4 linked regions of the Caenorhabditis elegans genome follow. The protein of the gene in region 1 interacts with the protein of each later gene in a pairwise test. Each region holds a gene or a part of one and is shown in the gene's direction. Other genes may lie near its edges.

What was found.
Region 2: the proteins of rbm-12 (region 1) and wwp-1 interact in a two-hybrid assay, tested with the Caenorhabditis elegans proteins (one large-scale study listed by BioGRID).
Region 3: the proteins of rbm-12 (region 1) and rde-2 interact in a two-hybrid assay, tested with the Caenorhabditis elegans proteins (one large-scale study listed by BioGRID).
Region 4: the proteins of rbm-12 (region 1) and src-1 interact in a two-hybrid assay, tested with the Caenorhabditis elegans proteins (one large-scale study listed by BioGRID).

The regions. Positions count from the first base shown.
Region 1 is NC_003279.8:10,120,505-10,125,473, forward strand, and holds the start of rbm-12 (RRM domain-containing protein), read left to right. Parts: upstream 1-1,954; 5' UTR 1,955-2,014; coding exon 2,015-2,218; intron 2,219-4,879; coding exon 4,880-4,969. Other genes in the region: Y106G6D.5 (Helicase ATP-binding domain-containing protein), read right to left, coding at 1-293, 341-423, 534-803, 848-927, 979-1,340, 1,383-1,574.
Region 2 is NC_003279.8:535,137-542,745, forward strand, and holds wwp-1 (E3 ubiquitin-protein ligase wwp-1), read left to right. Parts: upstream 1-1,985; 5' UTR 1,986-2,001; coding exon 2,002-2,107; intron 2,108-2,166; coding exon 2,167-2,424; intron 2,425-2,469; coding exon 2,470-2,699; intron 2,700-3,565; coding exon 3,566-3,775; intron 3,776-3,949; exon of another isoform or gene 3,950-4,106; intron 4,107-4,316; coding exon 4,317-4,591; intron 4,592-4,658; coding exon 4,659-4,872; intron 4,873-4,927; coding exon 4,928-5,248; intron 5,249-5,586; coding exon 5,587-5,847; intron 5,848-5,927; coding exon 5,928-6,149; intron 6,150-6,207; coding exon 6,208-6,495; 3' UTR 6,496-7,062; downstream 7,063-7,609. Other genes in the region: psf-3 (DNA replication complex GINS protein PSF3), read left to right, coding at 1-58; icd-2 (Nascent polypeptide-associated complex subunit alpha), read left to right, coding at 672-713, 763-1,170, 1,220-1,357. UniProt on the Caenorhabditis elegans protein: E3 ubiquitin-protein ligase which accepts ubiquitin from an E2 ubiquitin-conjugating enzyme in the form of a thioester and then directly transfers the ubiquitin to targeted substrates. Ubiquitinates klf-1.
Region 3 is NC_003279.8:7,280,009-7,284,551, reverse strand, and holds rde-2 (SH2 domain-containing protein), read left to right. Parts: upstream 1-1,680; coding exon 1,681-1,916; intron 1,917-1,959; coding exon 1,960-2,110; intron 2,111-2,170; coding exon 2,171-2,320; intron 2,321-2,367; coding exon 2,368-2,466; intron 2,467-2,584; coding exon 2,585-2,644; intron 2,645-2,690; coding exon 2,691-3,092; intron 3,093-3,140; coding exon 3,141-3,360; intron 3,361-3,405; coding exon 3,406-3,813; intron 3,814-3,888; coding exon 3,889-3,899; 3' UTR 3,900-4,028; downstream 4,029-4,543. Other genes in the region: F21C3.6 (DUF4200 domain-containing protein), read left to right, coding at 5-197, 342-425, 524-592; pfd-6 (putative prefoldin subunit 6), read left to right, coding at 812-869, 917-987, 1,033-1,157, 1,296-1,422; hint-1 (Histidine triad nucleotide-binding protein 1), read left to right, coding at 4,241-4,363, 4,408-4,543.
Region 4 is NC_003279.8:1,565,936-1,570,654, forward strand, and holds the start of src-1 (Tyrosine protein-kinase src-1), read left to right. Parts: upstream 1-1,673; coding exon 1,674-1,750; intron 1,751-4,401; coding exon 4,402-4,719. UniProt on the Caenorhabditis elegans protein: Non-receptor tyrosine-protein kinase which plays a role in endoderm development by controlling spindle orientation in EMS blastomere, probably downstream of receptor mes-1.

The DNA.
Region 1 (4,969 bases):
GATAAAACAACGGCAGGCAACTGTTTCTGATCTCCAACAAGAATGAGTTTCTTACAAGATGGTGTGGTTAATACTGGCACCCAAGTCGCAGGTTCCGTACATTGTGCAGCTTCATCAACAATCATGACATCTGCATTCCAATGATACTCCGGTAGTTTTTGAATTGAAGATGTTCCCAATGTTGAGAAAACAGCAAGTTTTGGATAGAAGATACTTCGAAAAATAGAATTTCGAATTAAATAGTATTCATATGACATCTTTTTATAGAGAGGATCGGATGTACTCATTGTTGACTGAAAATTAAAATTATTGAGGATAGGGATGATTAACACTCACTTACAAGTTGCTTTTTGATTTCTTCTAACTTTGAAGCGGATTTGTGGTTTTGAAACTCATCTTTCGTGTTTGCGAGGAGGCACAGTTCTGAAACAACATACAATTAAATATTGGCTTTACAGAAGTTAAATTTAACTTTTTCAAGGATATTCTTGTGAAAGTATAGATATTTGAAAAAAAAAATTACAAATTCTTACGCTGTTCGGCTTTCTCTTCAGGCATTTCTTCAATCATTCTTCCCGTGGTTGCATCCATTGCATTCCGTACAGCAACGTGTGTTGGGGCACAAACCAAAACTTTCTTTTTCTTTTTCATCAGTTGATGAACAATTTCAGCAATCACACGAGTTTTTCCAGTTCCTGGTGGTCCTTGAATACATAATAGATTTCTTTGTGTGTTCATTGCTGCTGAAACTGCTGCTACCTGACTTGGATTGAGTGTTTCCGGAAGATTTCCAATTTTTCTGTCTGAAAACTTTTAATTGAGGAGAATTCAACTTCTTTGAAAATACCATGAATAGAGGGCATTGGAATTGATCGATAGGCGAGATTGACTAAATGGACACTATCACTGGATAATGATGATGGATTCCTGAAAAATTGAATACATATTTTCAAGTCTGGTATACGGTAGCCACCATACTTAATTACACTTTGAAGAAATTTTAGAGCTCCGCTGTTTGTTGATGGAGTGAGAATGTAATTGAGTGTTGAGAAATCCACATTTTTATCGTCGTAAGCGCATACTTTCACGATTCCAGCAGTACAATCAACGACATGCCCATCGGACACTTTTTGCAAATGACCATCTTCATTCAGTTTGTTCAACAATACTGGAGTTCCTGCTTTAAGCCATCTCGTTCTTAAAATTGCGTCACCAGATAGGGTAATTACCTCTCCACAATATGAATCGTAATATTTTGAAGTCACGATCAGATTCCCAACGCAGAGCCCACGTTCTTCGATCACTCTCCATCCTACTTTGTTCCGGATCATCTCATCAAGCTGAAAATATAATATATTTTTGATCCCGATTCAGATTTTTACTTTTTCAAATTGCGCTTCGATTTCTGCTTCAAAGATCTTCGGCCATTCTCTAACATTGTCCAAAAATTTTGGTGTCAGAGAGATCTTATTCTTCGGTTGCTTTTTGAGAAGTCGGGAAGATTTTTTCAAGGATTGCGCTGAAGTCGATAGTTTGCATAGAGTTCCATAATTGAGTGATCGCAATAATTTCATCGTTCATTTCATTTAGATTTCCACCTGAAAAATCCATTAAAAATTGCAATTAATTGCATAATTTGCCATTTTCTGTTTTTAAATTCGCAGTGGAGCGAATTTACTGACACGCGACGCGCACGCAACGCTTTGCGTAGCAGCTTTTTTTCTTGTCGATTTTTGCTCTCGTTAGTCAATATTTTCGGTTTTTACACGTTTTCAGCGAATTTTTAATAGTTTCAGTTAGGTTTTTTGTTTTCTAAAGATTTGTTTCTGAAGGTATATCTATTTTCAAGGTGAAAATATGCAAAAAATGGTCACCTGCCGTCGTCTCTCTGAATTTTATTGTCATTCTATATTTCTGCAATTTAGTTCATTGTCTCATGCTGATATTTCATTCCAGATTTGAAGCGAACTAATTAAAGTTAGGAGTTTGATATATCCTCCATTTTTTGACGAGGATGTCGGTGATAATCCGTCTGAAAAATTTGCCGATGACGGCAGGCGCTTCGGATGTCCGTACATTTTTCACCGGTTTGAAAATTCCTGATGGGGCTGTGCATATTATTGGCGGAGACGAGGGAGAAGTTTTCGTCGGATTTTCTTCCGATGATGATGCGAGGCTTGCAATGACAAAAGATCGGTTGATGATTCACGGGGCTGAGGTTTGTGTTGGGGTATTCAGAAAATCGATCCACGTCTTCCTGAACTGATCCACTCTGTATAGTTTCTTCTACAAGTATATAGTTGTTTTGTTAGTGAACCAGTGTATGATATACGCTTAAGATTGCAGTCTGGTCTTACAATAATCAAAATATTTCTGTGCTTGCACGTGTTATATGTTTCTCTAGTGAATGCAAAGCGGCCACCTAGTTTTTTGAACGCTCTTAATAGCAGAAAAGTGTTGCCAATTAAGCGAAGAACATTTAAAAATGTTTTGTGTTTAATTTAGCTATATGATGGACATTATTATTTCCGACTCTGAACTTTCCTGGTTATTATTAAATTTGTGTAATGGAATATTAGGAAAATAATTTAAACCACGCGGACGCAGCGGGAATGACTCCGATTCTGATTGCTGATCATTGTCGTCACACATAACATCTCTCCATATGTATCTAAAATACAGTTAAACAGGGTACACTAATTCCAACAGAAGAAGTACATACTAAAGTTGAAAATCCGAATTTTCATCAAAAAGCAGATAATGGAGTAATGCACTTTTTCGGACTATATGCCGGTTTCTGAAAAAGAAAACATTTTCCACAGAACACAAGAGAATAGTTAAATGGATTTAATAAAACAAATTTAGATTGACAATTTTCTGGCTTGCTGTTAATCATGAAAGATTGTAAGGGGTATTTTGTGGCTGACCTTTTTCGGTGAACGAGAAAACAGCAATCTTTTTTAAAACTGTATTTGTAGCTTTTGTAATCACGCGAAATGCTGAAAATTGAACATTGTGGATACGATTTTTCAGAAACAGACCCAGTTTTTTGATTGTCAGAAATGAATGCCTATTGGCATTCAGTACTGTTCAACAATTGTTAACAATAGTATTTTAAAATTTTGGTAGATTGGAAACTATTCGGTATCGAAAAACTAATTCATCCTTTGTTCTTCCCATTTTTAGCGATCGTACAATAGGCCTCTAAAAAATGTCGACTTTCCGGATGAAAAATTTCAATACTGATAAGGAAAATATACACTTCCAAACCTTTTCAACATTTACGTTGAAAATGAACAGTGTTTCGTCAAATCTGCATATAACATTTTATATCACAAAAAATGAAAAATGATTTTAGTTAATTCTAATAGTTGGATAACATCACAAACTACTTCAAAGTAAAACAACAATTATATCAACCTTGAAACGGAAAATTCATATAGCATTTTCGTGTTCTTTGCTAGATTCGAAATTGAATAACAGTTTTAACTTCAAAACTAGCGAAAAACTTTTATTTTTTCCTCCTGAATCACAGACAAATATCTCGCGATACACTCGACATATGAACCTCACAACAAGGAGAAAATAACAATCTCAAAAGCGGCATCAAGTTCAAACTTTTCGAATCCATCCTAAACAACAACATTTTAGGTGCATGTAACTTTTATGGGTTGCAGCGAATGTAATGTTGAACCTCTATTTTGAATTACCACATCGAAAAATGAAAGTGTGCAGAATATTTGACTCAATAAATATCTCGTAGCGAAGTCTACAGTAACTGTAAATTACTGCCGTAACGTCAAAAATAGACGCTGAGGTTACGGTAGCATTTCCAAAGTTACTGTAGACTTCGTAACGAGATAACCAAACTGAATTTGTATAAAATATGTTCCAATCACCTTTCAACACCAGAAAAATTAGGAATTATATGATATTTATAGGCTTTGATCTTCTTTTCCACCGCATTTGCTCTCCACTCTGAACTGGGTTATGCGAACTTAAAAATCACAGATGATCTGTGAACAACTAGGCGTCAGAATACTGCATTATTTTCAATCTCTGCATATATCCTAATTTTTATTACACTAGTTATTGACGCTTCAAAAAATTTATTTAAGTTCTGAAAATCAAACAATTTTCAGCGTTTTATAAAAACTTGTTGTTTTCTGGTTGAAATACTTCGAAGTAATTTTTCAAAAAGTTATTTTCTGAACATAATAAGTATTATTTACTGAAAGCACATTTTCATCAGAATGGATTAGGCAGCTTATTGAACTTTCATTGTGACTAGTTTTAAAAAAAATGTCATTGGGAAAATATTCAAGTTTTTGATGCATGAATCCACATTTGAAGGTCTCAGCACGATTGAAACATCGTTCATATCAAACATCACACAAGAGGGTGTGTGCCTTTAAGGGGTACTGTAGAAATCACTTCCCAGTTTTTTTTTCAATTTTATTTGATTTTTCCTCTTCTCCTCACTTTCCACCGCGCTAAAAAATAATCAAGTCATAACATTCCTCGAAAAGGTGCACGCTCTTCTGCCCTCACTTCATCTAAAATTATTTCGATCGTGCCGAAACCTGGAATCGTCATTTTACAAAAAACATTGCCAAACGTACTGAATAAATGGGAGAAATCCAAAATTATCACTAGGCTTTCTTCTCCCCGAAGCAGTTAATTTTTGAACTCAAATTGAAAATTTTAAATCGTCATGTCTGGCAAAATTTTCGTTTAATTTTGAATATGTACCTCTCAAGTTGACAGTCAGTTGGGGTTAAAAAAAAAATGTAAAAATGGATCAGTATCAGGAACGACTATGCTCGAGTCATTCTTATATGGAAATAATTATAACGTTTTCCCAACAAAATATTTTCAGGTTCGATTATTTCTCTCCTCCAAATCAGAACAGAACTCTGTAATCGCGGCGCGAAAAAATAACACATATACTTCTCCAGTATACAAAGAA
Region 2 (7,609 bases), 9.6 Mb from region 1:
TTGGCTGAGACAAGACAATAAGTGCTCGAGCAAGAAGCGTAAGAGACTTTCGTTATAAACTTCAAATTTCTTATGCTTGAATCTAATTTTATTTTTTTTAATTCGTCTGTAAATATAATTCAAACCCACCATTCTGTAATAATATTTTATTTTCTATTTTTTCACACTCATTTTTGTGTTTTATTGGTGTAATAAACCTGGTTTCATGACTTTTTTGCAAGGAATTTTGTTGAAAAGGCTGCTGCAAAAACTTTGCCAGCAAAAAATTTTGTGCAAGCACGCTCCATCGCACAGTTTGAACGTCGCGGGTCGAAGTTAGATGTGCAGGTCATATAGCAAAAAGAGAAACACCCCTTTTTTTCTCGAGAAGTTTCACCAATTTTGCGCGATTTTTCAACTATTTTTTTGCTTTTTTGGCTTAATTTTGGCTCAGATTTTCCTCAAAAACATGAAAATCCAATCTAGAATAAGTAGTAATGGGTATATTCTAAGATTGTGCAAAAGTTAGCTTGAATTTCCTCGATTAAAGCTTTCCTACCAAGAAAAATGTGTGGATATTTTGAATTTACAAGTTTTTCATCTTTTTTTTGTAATATTCTCTTTGAAACTCCTGTTTCTCTCAAATTTGTAAACTTTCATAAACGTTTTTTTCAGGGTTACCACATTAAACAATGACCGGAAGCACCGAAACTCGCCAGAAGGAAGTCAAGGAGGTTGGTTGTTCAAAGTGACGTCTAAAATATTTAAATTTCTATATTTCAGCCACAAGTTGACGTTTCGGATGATTCCGACAACGAGGCCGTCGAGCAAGAGCTCACCGAGGAGCAAAGACGTGTGGCCGAGGCTGCTGGACTTGGAGATCACATCGACAAGCAGGCCAAGCAAAGCCGCTCCGAGAAGAAGGCCCGCAAGCTCTTCTCCAAGCTCGGACTCAAGCAAGTGACTGGTGTCTCCCGTGTCTGCATTCGCAAGTCGAAGAACATCCTCTTCGTCATAAACAAGCCAGACGTGTTCAAGAGCCCAGGATCTGACACCTACATCATCTTCGGAGAAGCCAAGATCGAGGATCTCACCCAACACGCCCAGATGTCTGCTATTGAGAACTTGAAGCCAACTCGTGAGGCCCCACAACTCAAGACTGTCGAAGAGGACGAGAATGAGGATGTTGAGGTAATTCAGTAACTTAATCGGATTTATTACATTAATTGTACGGTTTAAGGAGGATTCCACCGGCATTGAGGAGAAGGACATCGAGCTTGTCATTTCCCAAGCCAACACCACCCGCAACAAGGCCATCAGGGCGCTTAAGGAAGCTGACAATGACATCGTCAATGCCATCATGAGCCTTACCATGTAGCTTGTTTCCTGATGACCTTGCAGATACTCTTGTTATCGTTGTATCTCTTGCTTATCCCGTTTTCCGTTCCAAGTAAACGTTTATCAGTCTTTTTTAACTTTTTTGTTATGTTTAAAAAACAATTGCATCTTCGAATTGACCTACCTTTTACAGAAAAGAACAATTAAATCACTGTTTGTGTAAAACACCCCTCTATTGATCGAGAACTTTCACTTCTTCCAATTCTTTACTCGTATGACTGTGATTCATTTCACCTGCTATCACTTTATCATGACATTCCAGTTTATATCAACAGCAAATACCAATTGTGTGTATGTGAAAAATGCTATTGAATAGCAAGCGCGCCCCAACAAACACGTTTGAATGCGCGGGCGAAACGGCGTTAGATGTGCAGGTCATATGACAAAACGCATCGACCAGCAGCCAATGGCAAGTTACTGCGAGCTGTTATAGATTTTTTCACATGGTTTCCAGTGTTATCAGTTGGAAATCGATCGATAATACTGACTAGTAGTACTTAACATCTTCATTCCCACCGTTTCGCTGTCATTTGTGATACGTGGATTTATTTTTCCTTTCTCGCCGACTTTTCATTTCTAAATCTTTTCTGGAATTGCGAAATTTTCAGCCAGTTTCATGATCGAATGGCTCGTAATGAACCATCATCTCAGCAGCCGAGTAGTTCCGGGAGTAATGGAACTCCAGCACAACAAAACGGGTCGGCAAAACCATCAAAAGTCACAGTAAAAGGTAACAATTCGTAGATTTTTTGCATCTGTTCTAATAATATTTCCCCCTCTTAATCATAGTCGTCAACGCGTCGTTCACCAAGGCAGCCGACTGCTATGTCGAAATCACGAGTGACACGTCATCGGCGGCGCCAAAAAAGACGACTGTAAAGAAGAAGACGATGGCGCCCGAGTGGAATGAACATCTCAACGTTCATGCAAATGAATCTTCGACAATTTCGTTTCGTCTATTGCAAAAAGCCAAGCTATTCGATGACACGTGTCTAGGGATGGCGAAGCTGAAGCTTTCGAGTCTCACAAGAAATGAGAATGGAGAGTGTAAGTGGTTTTATTGAAATTTTCTCAAAAAATCTATTATTTCAGTCAAAAACGACATCAACAATATATCTTTGCTGGCCAAAGACTCCTCGAAAATCGGAACTCTCAACATAATTTTCTCCGGATATCCAGAGCGGAAACGAAGAAGCGCAGGAGTACGAGCTGAAACCGCCGCGTCTGCAAGTTCAGAGGCATCCACGTCAAATGGCGTTGCCACGTCATCCTCGGCGCGGAGACCGGCGACAGCGAAGCGTGACACTTTGGCGGCTCCAACGGTAATCGTGACGAGACCCATTTTGAATTATTTAATTATTCATGAAACGCTCTACTGGAGTGTTCATAATTATTAGAGCGCGCTCGCGCGGCACCTCACGAACTCCAGAATTCGCGAGGACAGCAGTTTTTGGCTATTTTGGCTTCTATGGAAATTATTTTTAATTTTTTGATTTAAAATATTGTTGAGAAGCATCATCCAAATTGAAAATGTGTAAAATTATGAAATTTGACCGAAAACTGAAGGTTTTACAGAGAGGAGTCACCACGGCTTTCTTTAAAAAGTATCAGTACCGTCAGTATTTCGATTTCAGAGTCGTAAAATATGTCATTTTGTAGAGAAACGTCTGTTTCACAAAAATCCATGTTTGATATTTTAATTGTTTAATTTCTAATATAAAAATATTCAAAAAATCAACAAGTTTACGTTAAAATCGAATTTTTCAATCGTTCAGTTTTTAATAAGAACAATTTCATAATTTCAAACATGGATTTTTTTGAAACAGACTTTTCTCTACAAAATGACATATTTTACGACTCTGAAATCGAAAAAACTGACGGTACTGATACATTTTAAAGAAAGTCGTGGTGACTCCTCTCTGTAAACCTTCAGTTTTCGTTAAAAATAATTTCCATAGAAGCCAAAAATAGCCAAAAACTGCTGTCCCCGCGAAACGAAATCCCGCGAATTCTGGAGTTCGTGAGGTGCCGCGCGAGCGCGCTCTAATAATTATGAACACTAGAGGAGAGCGTGAATGAGCGTTTTTTATTCTTTTCTCTGCATTTTTAATGCTACAGAATCATACACAAAATGTTGTCAAATACATGCATTACTCTACTACTCTTAATGTTTACTTTTCATTTGCAGAGTACCGCAGCGGCGGCAGCAGCAGCAACAGCAGGCGGCACCCCGGCCGCCGGAGCAGAAGAACAGCTTCCCGATGGATGGGAGATGCGTTTCGATCAATACGGACGCAAGTACTACGTGGATCACACCACCAAGAGCACCACGTGGGAACGCCCGTCTACTCAGCCATTGCCACAGGGATGGGAAATGCGAAGAGATCCGAGAGGAAGAGTGAGTTTTCCGGCGGAAAAAGCAGATTTAGCACGAGAAAAGCGTTTCTGATTATATTTTTGATGCGAAAATCATCAAAATTAAAAATATCTACCGTAGCCGCGGATACCTGGACCAAAATGCCGAAAAAAGTGACCTGATAAATTATTTTAAGGCTAAAATCTTGATTTTTACATAATTAGTGTCTTATTTTTGTTGATTTCTTGTCAAATTTTTGTAATTGCATCGAAATAGGCCAAAAATAAAGTAAAAATCAACTTCCAACACAGAAAAACTGACAAAATTGAAGATTTTTGCTGAATTCAGGCAATTTTTCGTAATTTTGATCCTCCATAATTTTTTTTTTCGAGAAAATTTTGAAATTTTTTCTTTAAATACGGCCTGAAAATTAGGAAATTATAACGACGGATAAAAAATTCTGATTTTCTTTATTTTAACCAAGGTCTCCAATTATTTGATAATCGAAAAAAAAAAAACTTTCCAGTGATTTTTACTTGAAAAATGTCTAAAAATTCACGCCAGGTGCACAATCCATTTTCAGGTGTATTACGTGGATCACAACACGCGCACGACCACCTGGCAACGACCGACAGCCGATATGCTTGAAGCACACGAACAATGGCAATCGGGAAGAGATCAGGCGATGCTTCAATGGGAACAACGTTTCCTTCTCCAGCAGAACAACTTTAGCGCCGACGATCCACTCGGACCATTGCCCGAAGGATGGGAGAAGCGTCAGGATCCGAATACGTCGAGAATGTACTTTGTGAATCATGTAAATAGAACGACACAATGGGAAGATCCGAGAACACAGGGGTATGTGAAAATTTTCAATTTTCCAATAATATTTCTATCAAAAATCACAGTTTTAATGTTTTAAAAGTTTCAGAGGCTCCGACCAACCTCTTCCGGATGGTTGGGAAATGCGATTCACCGAGCAAGGCGTTCCATTCTTCATCGATCACCAGTCTAAAACCACCACCTATAATGATCCAAGAACCGGAAAACCCGTCGGCCCGCTCGGCGTCGTCGGTGTTCAAATGGCCATGGAGAAGAGTTTCCGGTGGAAAATTGCACAATTCAGATATTTATGCTTGGTAAGGGAGGGCGAGAAATTCTTTGATTTTAGCTATAAATTGATGTAAATTTCAGTCAAACAGTGTGCCTAATCATGTCAAAATCACAGTATCCCGTAATAACGTGTTCGAAGACTCATTCCAAGAAATTATGCGTAAAAATGCAGTCGATCTACGCCGGCGGCTGTACATTCAATTCCGAGGCGAAGAGGGTCTCGACTATGGAGGTGTCGCCAGAGAATGGTTCTTCCTGCTGTCGCACGAAGTGTTGAATCCAATGTATTGCCTATTCATGTATGCTGGTAATAACAATTATAGTCTTCAAATCAATCCAGCTTCATTTGTTAACCCGGATCATCTTAAGTATTTCGAGTATATTGGACGATTCATTGCCATGGTGAGTGTTTTTTTTTAATTGAAAATCAGTTGAAAATTGGATGAAAAATTGCGAAATCGAGAGAAAATCGAGTTTTCCGCTTTTTACAATTGAATTTTAAAATTTTAAACGTTAAATTTTGCAGAAAATTCCAAAAAAAAGCACTTGGATCTAAAATTTTTGTTTTTTGATGAAGGAAATCCTTAAATATCGATTTTTTTTATTTTCAGCTCAAAAAACCTGGAAATTTCGATGATCTCAAATTTTCAGATCAATATATTTCATTTTCTCCTAAAAATGTTATTTTTATTTAAACAAATAGTTTTTCTTAGAAAATTCCTTTATTTTCAAATTTCCAGGCGCTATTCCACGGGAAATTCATCTACAGCGGTTTCACGATGCCATTCTACAAAAAGATGCTCAACAAGAAGATTGTTTTAAAGGACATTGAACAAGTCGATTCGGAAATTTATAATTCATTGATGTGGATCAAGGATAACAATATCGATGAATGCGATATGGAGCTCTATTTTGTTGCCGATTACGAGCTGCTCGGCGAGCTCAAGACTTATGAGCTTAAGGAGGGCGGTACAGAGATTGCTGTTACCGAGGAGAATAAGGTGAGATTTTGGATTAGCTAGAGCTTATAAAAATAATTTTTAAATAAAATAATTTAATTTAAAAAATCCCAATTTTCCAGCTTGAATACATCGAACTGCTCGTTGAGTGGCGCTTCAATCGCGGTGTCGAACAACAGACAAAAGCCTTCTTCACCGGCTTCAACTCGGTCTTCCCGTTGGAATGGATGCAGTATTTCGATGAAAGAGAGCTCGAGCTGTTGCTCTGCGGAATGCAGGACGTTGATGTGGACGATTGGCAGAGAAATACTGTCTACAGACATTATGCTCCACAGAGCAAGCAGGTAGGGGAGAACATTTGATTAAAACTTCTTTTTTTTTAATTAAAAAATACATTTATAGGTAACCTGGTTCTGGCAATGGGTTCGAAGTCTGGACCAAGAAAAACGTGCCCGGCTCCTACAATTCGTCACAGGAACGTGCCGTGTGCCAGTCGGTGGATTTTCCGAGCTGATGGGCTCGACGGGACCACAACTATTCTGTATCGAGCGTGTCGGCAAGGAGAACTGGCTCCCACGGTCGCATACGTGCTTCAATCGACTCGACTTGCCGCCATACAGAAGCTACGATCAGCTCGTCGAGAAGTTGAGCATGGCGATCGAGATGACGGAAGGATTTGGAAACGAGTAGTCTCCCGTTGTTTTTTTTTGGTTTTGCTGGCCGCCTAATTATTGTATAACCCTCATATTTCTTCTCACCCACACCCCATTGATTTTCCTTTTTTTTCTCTCCATCAATTAATGTTTCTTTTTTTCGAATTTGTGTGATAATTTTCGTGTTGTGATACCACTTGCTTAGGTTCTCTCTCTCTCTTTCCTTTCCTTCTGGGTATGTACCTATATTTAGAATATAGACAAAGCATCTAGTTTTTTTGGATTTAATTTCCAAATTTCCCGTTTAATTCCAACAACAAAAAAACAATTCCACCACTTTTCAAATATTTTTTTTGTGTCCATTGCTTCATTGCTTTTCTTCTTCTCAACCATTTCAACCACCACCACCCAATCTGCGCCTTATTCTTACTTGGTCCTTGTCATTCTTAGTTCCAGTTTTTTTCACGGAAGCAGCTCTCGATTATTAATTCAAATGCATCCCCCCAACCAATCCGTCACCCCCCGATTAGAACAATTTCTACTTTTTTTTTTGAAAACAAAAAAAAACACAATTCCTCGATTTGGTTGTAATGAATTTAATTTTTTAAATTTTGAGCCTTTTTTGTTGTTTTAGGTTTTCTTAACTTTCAGAATTTCCATGCGGAACACACGGAGAGCAGAAGATCAATATTTTGAACCCTGCAGGAGAAGGACGGGACCCTTTGGTCACTCATGTCTCGGCTGTCTGCGTCTCTCCTCTCTCTCTGCACCAGCGGAGAGGATGGATAGCCTCATTCGTTTTATTTCGGACTTTCGATTTTTCTTATTGCTCCACGTTTTAGCTTTTATCAGATTCGGGGAGCTCTTGCTTTTTTCTTGATTTTTTCGTAAAGTGTTCTTGGGTCCCGCAGCGAAAATTAACTTTAAAATGATTTTTTAAAAACTTTCTAAAAATTCATTTTTTTTTCCATTTTACGACTAGAAATTTCGAAATTTGAAAAAAAAAACCGTGTTGCAAATGCGCTCCAGCGTACAAAACAAAACCGCCACCAAAAAATTTAAATTACTGAAAAAAACGATGAAATTTTGAATTTGTTTTGCCATTTTCCGGCAATGATTTTTTAAATAAAAAAAACTGTACAACAAATGCG
Region 3 (4,543 bases), 2.8 Mb from region 1:
TCAGAAAAACGGAAAATCAGAAGAAAGAATTTCGTAAACGCCAAGAAATATTCGAGAAAGTATTTCAAGACGCTGAATCTGGACAAAAAGCAGTTGAGAATGTGATGAGTGATTATCGGGAGTCAAGAAATGCAATCAAAGTGCAGTTATATACCGATTCAAATGATTTTATTCAAACACAACAAATTGAAAAATCGGTGAGTTTATGGTTTCTGTTTTACGATTTGTTTTATGATTTATTAGTATATTTGGATACAGTGTATATTAAATATTTTATTCAATTTTTTTTAGACTTTCAAAAAAGTGGATCAAGGCTAAAACAAAATTGATTTTTTTTCCAGCATTTCAACGCTGCTGGAGACCGACTTCGTTCTTCTGAAATTCAATTATCAAAACTAGAGTCAGAATTGAAAAAGACAAAACAGGTAAGAATATATTTTTATGTTTATAGAACCTAGGGAAATACCCTGAACTTACAAGAAACTTATTTAATTATTGTATATAATTAAGCTAAAACTTTCAGATACGCGAAGAATATTATCAAGATTCCATGCAAAGTTGGTTTTCACGATTCTGGAAATATCTATATTGAAAATATTTCGTATTGTCACTATTGAATGAAATTTTAGCAAAAGCATAACAAAATTGAAGTTAACATATACAATCCAGTTTTGAACTTCCGCCAAAAACGGAAAATGCGTCAAGAAAGCTTGCTGGCGCTTTGAAGGATGGCGCAGAACCCGTTTTTCTTCTAGATTTTTAAACACAATTTTGTTTTCTTTCACTTCTTTTCCCACTAAAAACGATCAAAATGGCTGATATGGCTAAATTCGAAGAAGAAGTTAACAAGCTCAGAACTCTTGAAAAAGGTTAGTAACTGTTAATTTAAACAATCTTTTCAATCGTTTAATTATAGACCGCGAAAAGTACTTCACGAGTCGCCAAGAGATGGAAATGAGATTAACTGAGAGTAAAAATGTGAAAGCGGTAAGAAAAAGTTTGAGATTCAGTTTTCATGTTATCTTCATTCAGGAGCTTGATCTGATGGAATCCGACTCGAAAGTCTACAAACTCATCGGAGCGGTTCTTGTTCGTCAAGATTTGGAGGAGGCTCGATCGACTGTGGAGAAACGGCTTGAGTTTATCGACTCTGAGACGTGAGTTGTAACGTTTATCATGTTTCTTTAGTATTACTTCTTGCACGCTATTGATTTACACGAAACAAATAAAAATAACAAATAAATTTTACCTTTAAACGTTTTAAAATGCAACAAAACTTTAATTACAATTTTCAGCAAACGAGTGGAAGCCAGCATCTCAGACATTTCGAAGAAGTGTACGGAACAGCGAGACAAGGTGATGAATATGCAAAAAAGCTTCCAGATGATGGCTCAAGCAGCAGCCCAAGCACAGAAGAAATAATCCAGTTTGTTCTATGAATCTCATATTTTTTGCTCTTAATTTGTTATTTTTTGCCTATTCTTCATCTCTGGTGTTTCTCCGAAACGAGAAGATCACATTAATTTTTCTATGAAAAAAATAAGTTTCTTGTTTCGGGGAACCATTTACAATAAATGCTTTCAAACTGTTTTATACCATTTGTGCTCACGTCTATGTTAAAAGTCATTGCTAATTACATCAGTTCTGATTTATAACTATATTCATTTTCTTGCTATTCAGATGCATAATGGGTACCATTCTTATTTTCCTCCAAATCACTATTATGCTCAAAGTCAGCCATCATCGTCGTATAATCCCCAACCACAAATTCAACAACCGCAAACCCAAATATATGGATTGGTAGTTGGTTACAATAAATATGGAAACAGAAATTATCTTTTCTATACCAAAAATATCGATGGATTTGTCGAAATCAGTGGAAATATTCAGAGCCTGCAGATAGGACGCTGGCTAAAGTTAGACATTATTTTATCTGATTTTATTAACTAGCAATTTTAGATTAACTGTTTGTCAGAACTTCGTGGGACAATACGTATTGGATTCCTCAAATAGTTGTGGATATGAAAACTGGGACGTTTTGCCGAATCACAGAAATTCATCGGCGAGATTCTTTCCGAAGTATGAGGCTAACGATGAAGGAGAAATTTTGGTAATCTCAAATGGAAAAAGTTTTAATAAATAAAGAGTACGGATTTTTATAATTTTTCAGATAACAGCTCGATTTGATGTAATAGTAGATCGGAAAAATAATTTGTATGATTTCACCAGTTACGATATTTCCTATGATCATATTATTGACGACTTTAGTCTGATCAAATCATCATGTCAACACTATGATGGACGCAGTTTTATTGTTGAAGTAAGTTATCGATTTTAAAAAAAACTATTAAAATAAAAATATTGCAGGCTCAAGCATCTCTGGCAGGTTGGGTCGCATTGAGTGTGCATGAAGATCCACAAAAGCTACACACCTGTGATGCTGTAAGCCGAAATGGATATCAATCAGTATGTGGCAAAAGTGTCCTGGTTCATTTTGAATTGTTCACATTTTGGTTTTTGCTTATCAAAATTTCCCAGAACATATAAGCCACAACCTCCTGCAGTTTACATAATATAATTTCAGCTCCCGAATCCAGTCGTTGATTCTGATGTACAGTATCTTCATGATACAAGACTGTTGGATGTATGTGACTTATAGTTCAGAATTTTTCAAGTAATCACATTTTTAGATTATGACTGGTAATGGATATGTTCAAACACCCGAAACCGACGTACAAGATCAACAATCAAGTCAACATCAAGAAGACGTGCATTCTCAAATGAACTCGCAGACATCTGATTCGTACAATTCCTCTAGAGTTGTGTCAGAGAATCGGGAAATACCTCCGGAAACTTTTCGAAGCCAAAGTATCGAATTGAATCAAGTTGATTCATCCTTGTCCCAGACTACAATCTCAAGTCGAGCAGCACCAGTTATTGATTCAAATCAGTTATCAGATGAAGATGAAATTGATGATGAAGATACATACGGAACACGTGGAACATCTAATATTCCGATGAGACCGTTTATTAAAGATTTAGCTCCAACGATGCTTCAACTGCTTCGTCAAGATAAAACTGATTCCGAAAAAGTACGTAATGCCAGAACAATAATATTAATCTTCATCACCATATTTCAGCCTCAATCTGCTTTATGCACCGTTGTGCAAAAAATCGATGGCTTTGCAATTTTGTACACAGCCAAAAGAGACGTTATAAACGTTTTGCTTCAAGAAAGATCGTGTGAAGGATTGGAAAGATCCCCTCAACTCGGAGACGTGGCATTCTTCGATATCTTGCCTCGTAGAATTGAAACAAAAGATAGGCTCATTTTCAAGATTCCATATACACATATTGCAGGTATTTTACAATTTACCAATGTTTTAAAAAAACTTTAATTTTAAGTGAAAAAGAAACCAGACACGCCAGATTCTCTCCTTAAAATTGATTGCTTTAAAAACTCGGTCAGATGCTTCGGAGGAGTGCTTGAAATGAAAGTAAAAATCGCACTTTCAAAACCTGAACTAGTAGTGGAGCAATATCATGACAACACAGAGATGAACTCGGATCATCATTTTTATTATTTGAAAGCAACAAATGGAGTACTTGTCACAATTCCAAAAGAACGTCTTCTGAATCATTTGAATTCGAAATTATCAGCAGATTTTGACCTAATCGCGTGGGTTGTTCATCGAAAACCAATTGGAAATGTTTCATTACATATTGGAAAGGGAGGTGAAGCTTATCAACAGTTCACAAATGGAGATATTCGAGAGCTTCCGCCATTGTCTTCTAATCAATATTTCATGAATGGTAAGTAAGAGGGAAACCGAGTTTTCGAAGAAACCTAGGAGAATTCTTGGTTTTCTATTCAAATTATTATTTCAGTTCGAAAGTAAAAACTGCACAATCGACAAATCACGTTATGGGTTCAAATTGTATTCTGGTACATTAATTCTTGTTCTTGTGTTAACTTTTTTGATTATTTTTTGTATCATTTTACTGATTAAAGCATTTATTTTCACATGTTTATTGTTTATTTCTCGTTGTCTAGCGTTTTCATCGTTTGAAATATATTGCATATTGGTTATTTTTTGCCCATTTTTCAATATTTTAGTATGGCTTCCTCTTTGGTTAAAACCGCTTTGCGTCTTGCTTACCGTAATCCAGTTAGGTCAGGGTTACTGTAGGCAAGGTGTCTTTATCGATTCCACCATTTTTCAGGTTTACAAAGAGAAACATGTCGGAAGTAGATAAAGCCCACTTGGCGGCAATTAACAAAGATGTTCAAGCCAACGACACTCTTTTCGGAAAAATAATTCGAAAAGAGATTCCAGCGAAAATCATTTTTGAAGATGATGAGGTATGTAAGATCAGGCAAACGATCACATAAAATATTTATTTAAGGCTCTCGCATTCCATGATGTCTCTCCACAAGCTCCAATTCATTTTCTTGTGATCCCTAAGCGTCGCATTGATATGCTCGAGAATGCCGTTGATTCGGATGCTGCGCTTATTGGAAAGCTTATGGTTACTGCTTCAA
Region 4 (4,719 bases), 8.6 Mb from region 1:
CGATCATAAGTTGTTATTGAAATTGATCATAACTTAATGGAAAACATGAGAAAAAACCTGTTCGAAAATTAGTTTTGCATCAAATTAGGTGTCCGAAAATTAGTTTTGCATGCCTTACTAATAGAGGAAATACGGTAAAAGTTATGGCGGCTCAAAAAATGGCCGACATTTTTTTAAATTTTTTATCCAAATTTCGCCGTCCATCGACTTTATAATACCTAAATGAAGTTGAAAACGCAGGATAATTACATTGTATACTCAAAATTTGACGGTGAATTCAAAAAAGTTAATTTCCAGCCGCTTGACAAGTCGGTCAAATTTCAAAATTTAACTTATCTTAGGCCATTTTTTGAGCCGCCATAACTTTTACCGTATTTCCTCTATTAGTAAGGCATGCAAAACTAATTTTCGGACACCTAATTTGATGCAAAACTAATTTTCGAACAGGTTTTTTCTCATGTTTTCCATTAAGTTATGATCAATTTCAATAACAACTTATGATCGAAAATTTACGAATTTTACGACTGATACGCAAAAATTGTCCGAATTGTACTCATATTTTGTCAATTTTGACTTGTCATACCAAGTCTGTAAGAGTTTTCCTAATTTTTAGAACGATTTTATTATGCAAATTTTGAATTCCTAAACATAGGGAACAAATTGAGGGGGTGCAAAACTAATAGAGGAAATACGGTATTTGGAGAAGTTTTCAAGAAGTTTCATTATGAAATTCGATGTTTTCAGACAATTTTGAGTATATTAAAGAAATTTAAAAAAAAATTCAACTACACCACCTTTAAATACAAAAATACTGATTCTGTTGGGAAAATATTGTAAATTTCTTCAAAAAATTGATAATTTTCGCGTTTTTTCTGAATAAATTCCAAGCGTCAGAGTTTATTTAAAACATATTTACTACCCCTCCATTTTCACTTTTTCCTCTAAAATCTCGTTTTTTTAAAATCAAATTCCCGCCAAAATTTCCTCATTTTCAGAAAAAAAACCTCGAAAATAAGAAGAAGAAGCAACCATTCCATATGCATGCTCAATAATTGTTGTTTGCACAAAAATACTGGTGTCTTGTGTGAGTTTTTTTGGAAAATTCAGAAAATTTTCACTGAAAATTACAAAACCTGACAATTTTTGAATTTCGCGACGATTCAAGTATTTCACATGGTGTCAGAGTGTCACATTTCGGCTTGATCTACGTTGATCTACAAAAAATGCGGGAAAACGGGACGCTGACTTCTCATCTGATTTTGTATGGTTAAGACCGTCCTGACGTCACATTTTTTGGGCAAAAAATTGCCGCATTTTTTGTAGATCAAACCGTGATGGGACAGGCTGGCACCACGTGATATTTGCAAATTGTAAATTTTAATATATATTAAAATTAACAAATTTTTTGAAATTTGTTTGAAAATTCTGCTTGTACAGTCTTTTTTTGCAGTTTTCCAGTTGTGGAAATGTCAAAAAAAAATTAAATTGACAGAGATTTTTCAGTTAAAAAAATTTAAAAAAAAAAAACGAAAAAATTCACAAACAATTTTTCGACAAACCGGCAAATTGCCGAAAATGAAAATTTCCGGCAAACCGGCAATTTGCTGATTTGCCGAACGAACGAGGCAACCCCAGTAACATTTTCCTGAAATAATTTTTTTTCAGAATAAATAATGGGTTGCCTGTTTTCAAAAGAGCGGCGATCGGGAGGCAGTGATATGGGTGTTTCCGAACGGATAGATGTCTCCAGGTAACTATTTTATAGAGAAATGTATTATTTTTTTGGAGACAATCAACTTTTTTTTTAGATAAAAAGTGCAAAAATTAAATACAGATTTGAAAAAAAACCGATTTTCCGGTTTGGTTTAATTTTTGGTAAAAATTTGAAATTATTGATTTTTAGTTAAAAATTAGAAATCATTGATTTTTCGATAAAAAATCATAAATTATTGACTTTTCAATTAAAATAGGAAATTTAGCTATTCTAAATCTACATAAAGCATGATATTTTATGCATTTACATGGTGGTGAGCGGAAATCCCCCGTTTTGCCGGAACTTTTCAATTCCGAAAATTTGCCCGTTTCACATTTCGATAATTCGGCAGTGATCAACAGTTGTTAGATTTTCGGCATTTTCTCAGCAAGTAAGTGCCCGATCCCAACAAATTCCGGCAATTTGACATTACTGAGTTCCAAAGAATTTTGAAAAAAAAAACGAGATCCCTACTGTAGTAAATGTTTTTATTAGAAATTTTTTTTTCTGGAATTTTTTAATCGAGACTGAACTCTTTTACAATTTCGAGTGTATTTTTTTGGAAAAAATGTATAGAATTTAAAAATGTATCATTTTCTCTGTCCCGTCTTTTTTTATAGAAAGTTTGCTTTATTTTTAGGCTATTTTTAGGCCAATGTTGTTTTCTAAGCCTAAAAATGAAAATAGTATTAAGATGAACATGTGCATTAAAATTGAAATATTGAATGTTTAAAATTATTTAGTGCTCACTTTTTCCGAAAAAAAAAATATATAAATAGAATAATCTCAGAAGAAAAACTATGGCATCATTTTTGCCCAATTAGATGCCAACGATGTCTTTAAAAAATTATATATATATATATATATATATATCTTTTTTTTTAAAAACATTTAAAGACATCTATTTGGGCAAAAATGATGCCATAGTTTTTCTTCTGAGATTATTCTATTTATATATATTTTTTTTCGGAAAAAGTGAGCACTAAATAATTTTAAACATTCAATATTTCAATTTTAATGCACATGAGAATGTTCATATATGTACTTCCTTTTCTATAAAAAAAATTTGATTGTTTGCCCACCTAAAAATGCACTAACAACGCGTCAATTCGCGTATTATATTTTTTTTAAAGGTGGAGTAGCGCCAGTGGGGAAATTGCTTTTAAACATGCCTATGATACCACAATGACCGAATATCATGGTTAAAAAATTCAAAAAAAAATTTCTAAATTTTATATGATTTTTTGAAAATTGAAAAAATCTCAGTTTTGCCTAATTTTTTGTTTTGCCTAGATTTGTTCGGTGGAGCGCGCTTGCACGCTTTTATTTTTATTTATTGTTATTTTTTTATATTTTCCACCGATTTTCAATGTTTTCAGTGTATTTTTGTCTGAAATTTGAAGAAAAAGTCAAAATAAATGCAAATGTTCGATTAAAAAGCATTTAAACGACGATTTCGAAACCTGAATTAATTAATTTCAAAGATTTACGCTTGTGAAGTAGCTTTTTAATCAAAAATTAGCATTTATTTCGACTTTTTCTTCAAATTTCAGACAAAAATACACTGAAAACATGGAAAATCGGTGGAAAATATAAAAAAAAAAACAATGAATAAAAATAAAAAATGTGCAAGCGCGGCGCTCCACCGAACAAATCCAATTGGGGGTAATTCAAAATTCAAATAGGAATTATTAGGCAAAAATCTTTTTTTTACCATTTTTTAATTTTCAAAAAATCATATAAAATTTTTTTGAATTTTTTTATCATGGTATTCGGACATTGTGACCCCATCACTGCAACTTTTTCCTCACGAGAGACAAGGAAAAGTGGTTTCTAGGCCATGGCCGAGGGGCCGACAAGTTTCAGCGGCCATTTATCTTGCTTTGTTTTCCGCCTATTTTCTTTCGTTTTTCATCGATTTTTTTCGTTTTTTCTTAATAAAACTGATAAATAAATATTTTTTGCAGATGCTAAAACAATTTCCAAGTAAAAAAATCATGTATTCAGTGGGCAAGCAGCGGTGAAAGTAGTCGATGTAATATGATGGATTACGGGAATACAAAACCTAAACTTTTTCTGAAACATGATACATATGATGCTTAGATGCTTAAATTACCTGATTTTCATAACGAGACCGCTGAAAAAGTTTTGAGGTTTTCAAAATTCAATTGTTTTTGGTGAAAAAGTAGAGATTTTCGCACAAAATGTTGAATTTTAAAAATCTCTAAACTTTTTCAGCGGTCTCGTTATGAAAATCAGGTAGTCTCAGCATTTAAGCAGCATATGTATCATGTTTCAGAAAACGTTTAGGTTTTGTATTCCCGTAATCCATCATATTACATCGACCACTTTCACCGCTGCTTGCCCACTGAATACATGATTTTTTTTACTTGGAAATTGTTTTAGCATCTGCAAAAAATATTTATTTATCAGTTTTATTAAGAAAAAACGAAAAAAATCGATGAAAAACGAAAGAAAACAGGCGGAAAACAAAGCAAGATAAATGGCCGCTGAAACTTGTCGGCCCCTCGGCCATGGCCTAGAAACCACTTTTCCTCGTCCCTCGTGAGGAAAAAGTTGCAGTGGCTACTCCACCTTTAATTATTTTTCCATTTTTTTTCCGTACACTTCCCCCATTACCCAAAAAGATATCCACGCAGATTCCAAACGCCCCAACAACAGACAGTATTCCACGTGAATAACGGTGGAAACGAGGGAACCATCTCTCAACTAAACGGAACATCAGACGGAATGATGGGAAATGGACGTGGTGGTGGTGGTGGAGGAGGAGCACAGGAACGTGAGACTCTGGTCGCCCTCTATCCATACGATTCACGTGCCGACGGGGATCTTAGCTTTCAAAAAGGCGATGCTATGTACCTATTGGATCATTCGAATTGTGATTGGTGGTATGTTCGACACCAACGAACCGGACAGACTGGTTATGTGCCGAGGAATTTTGTTGC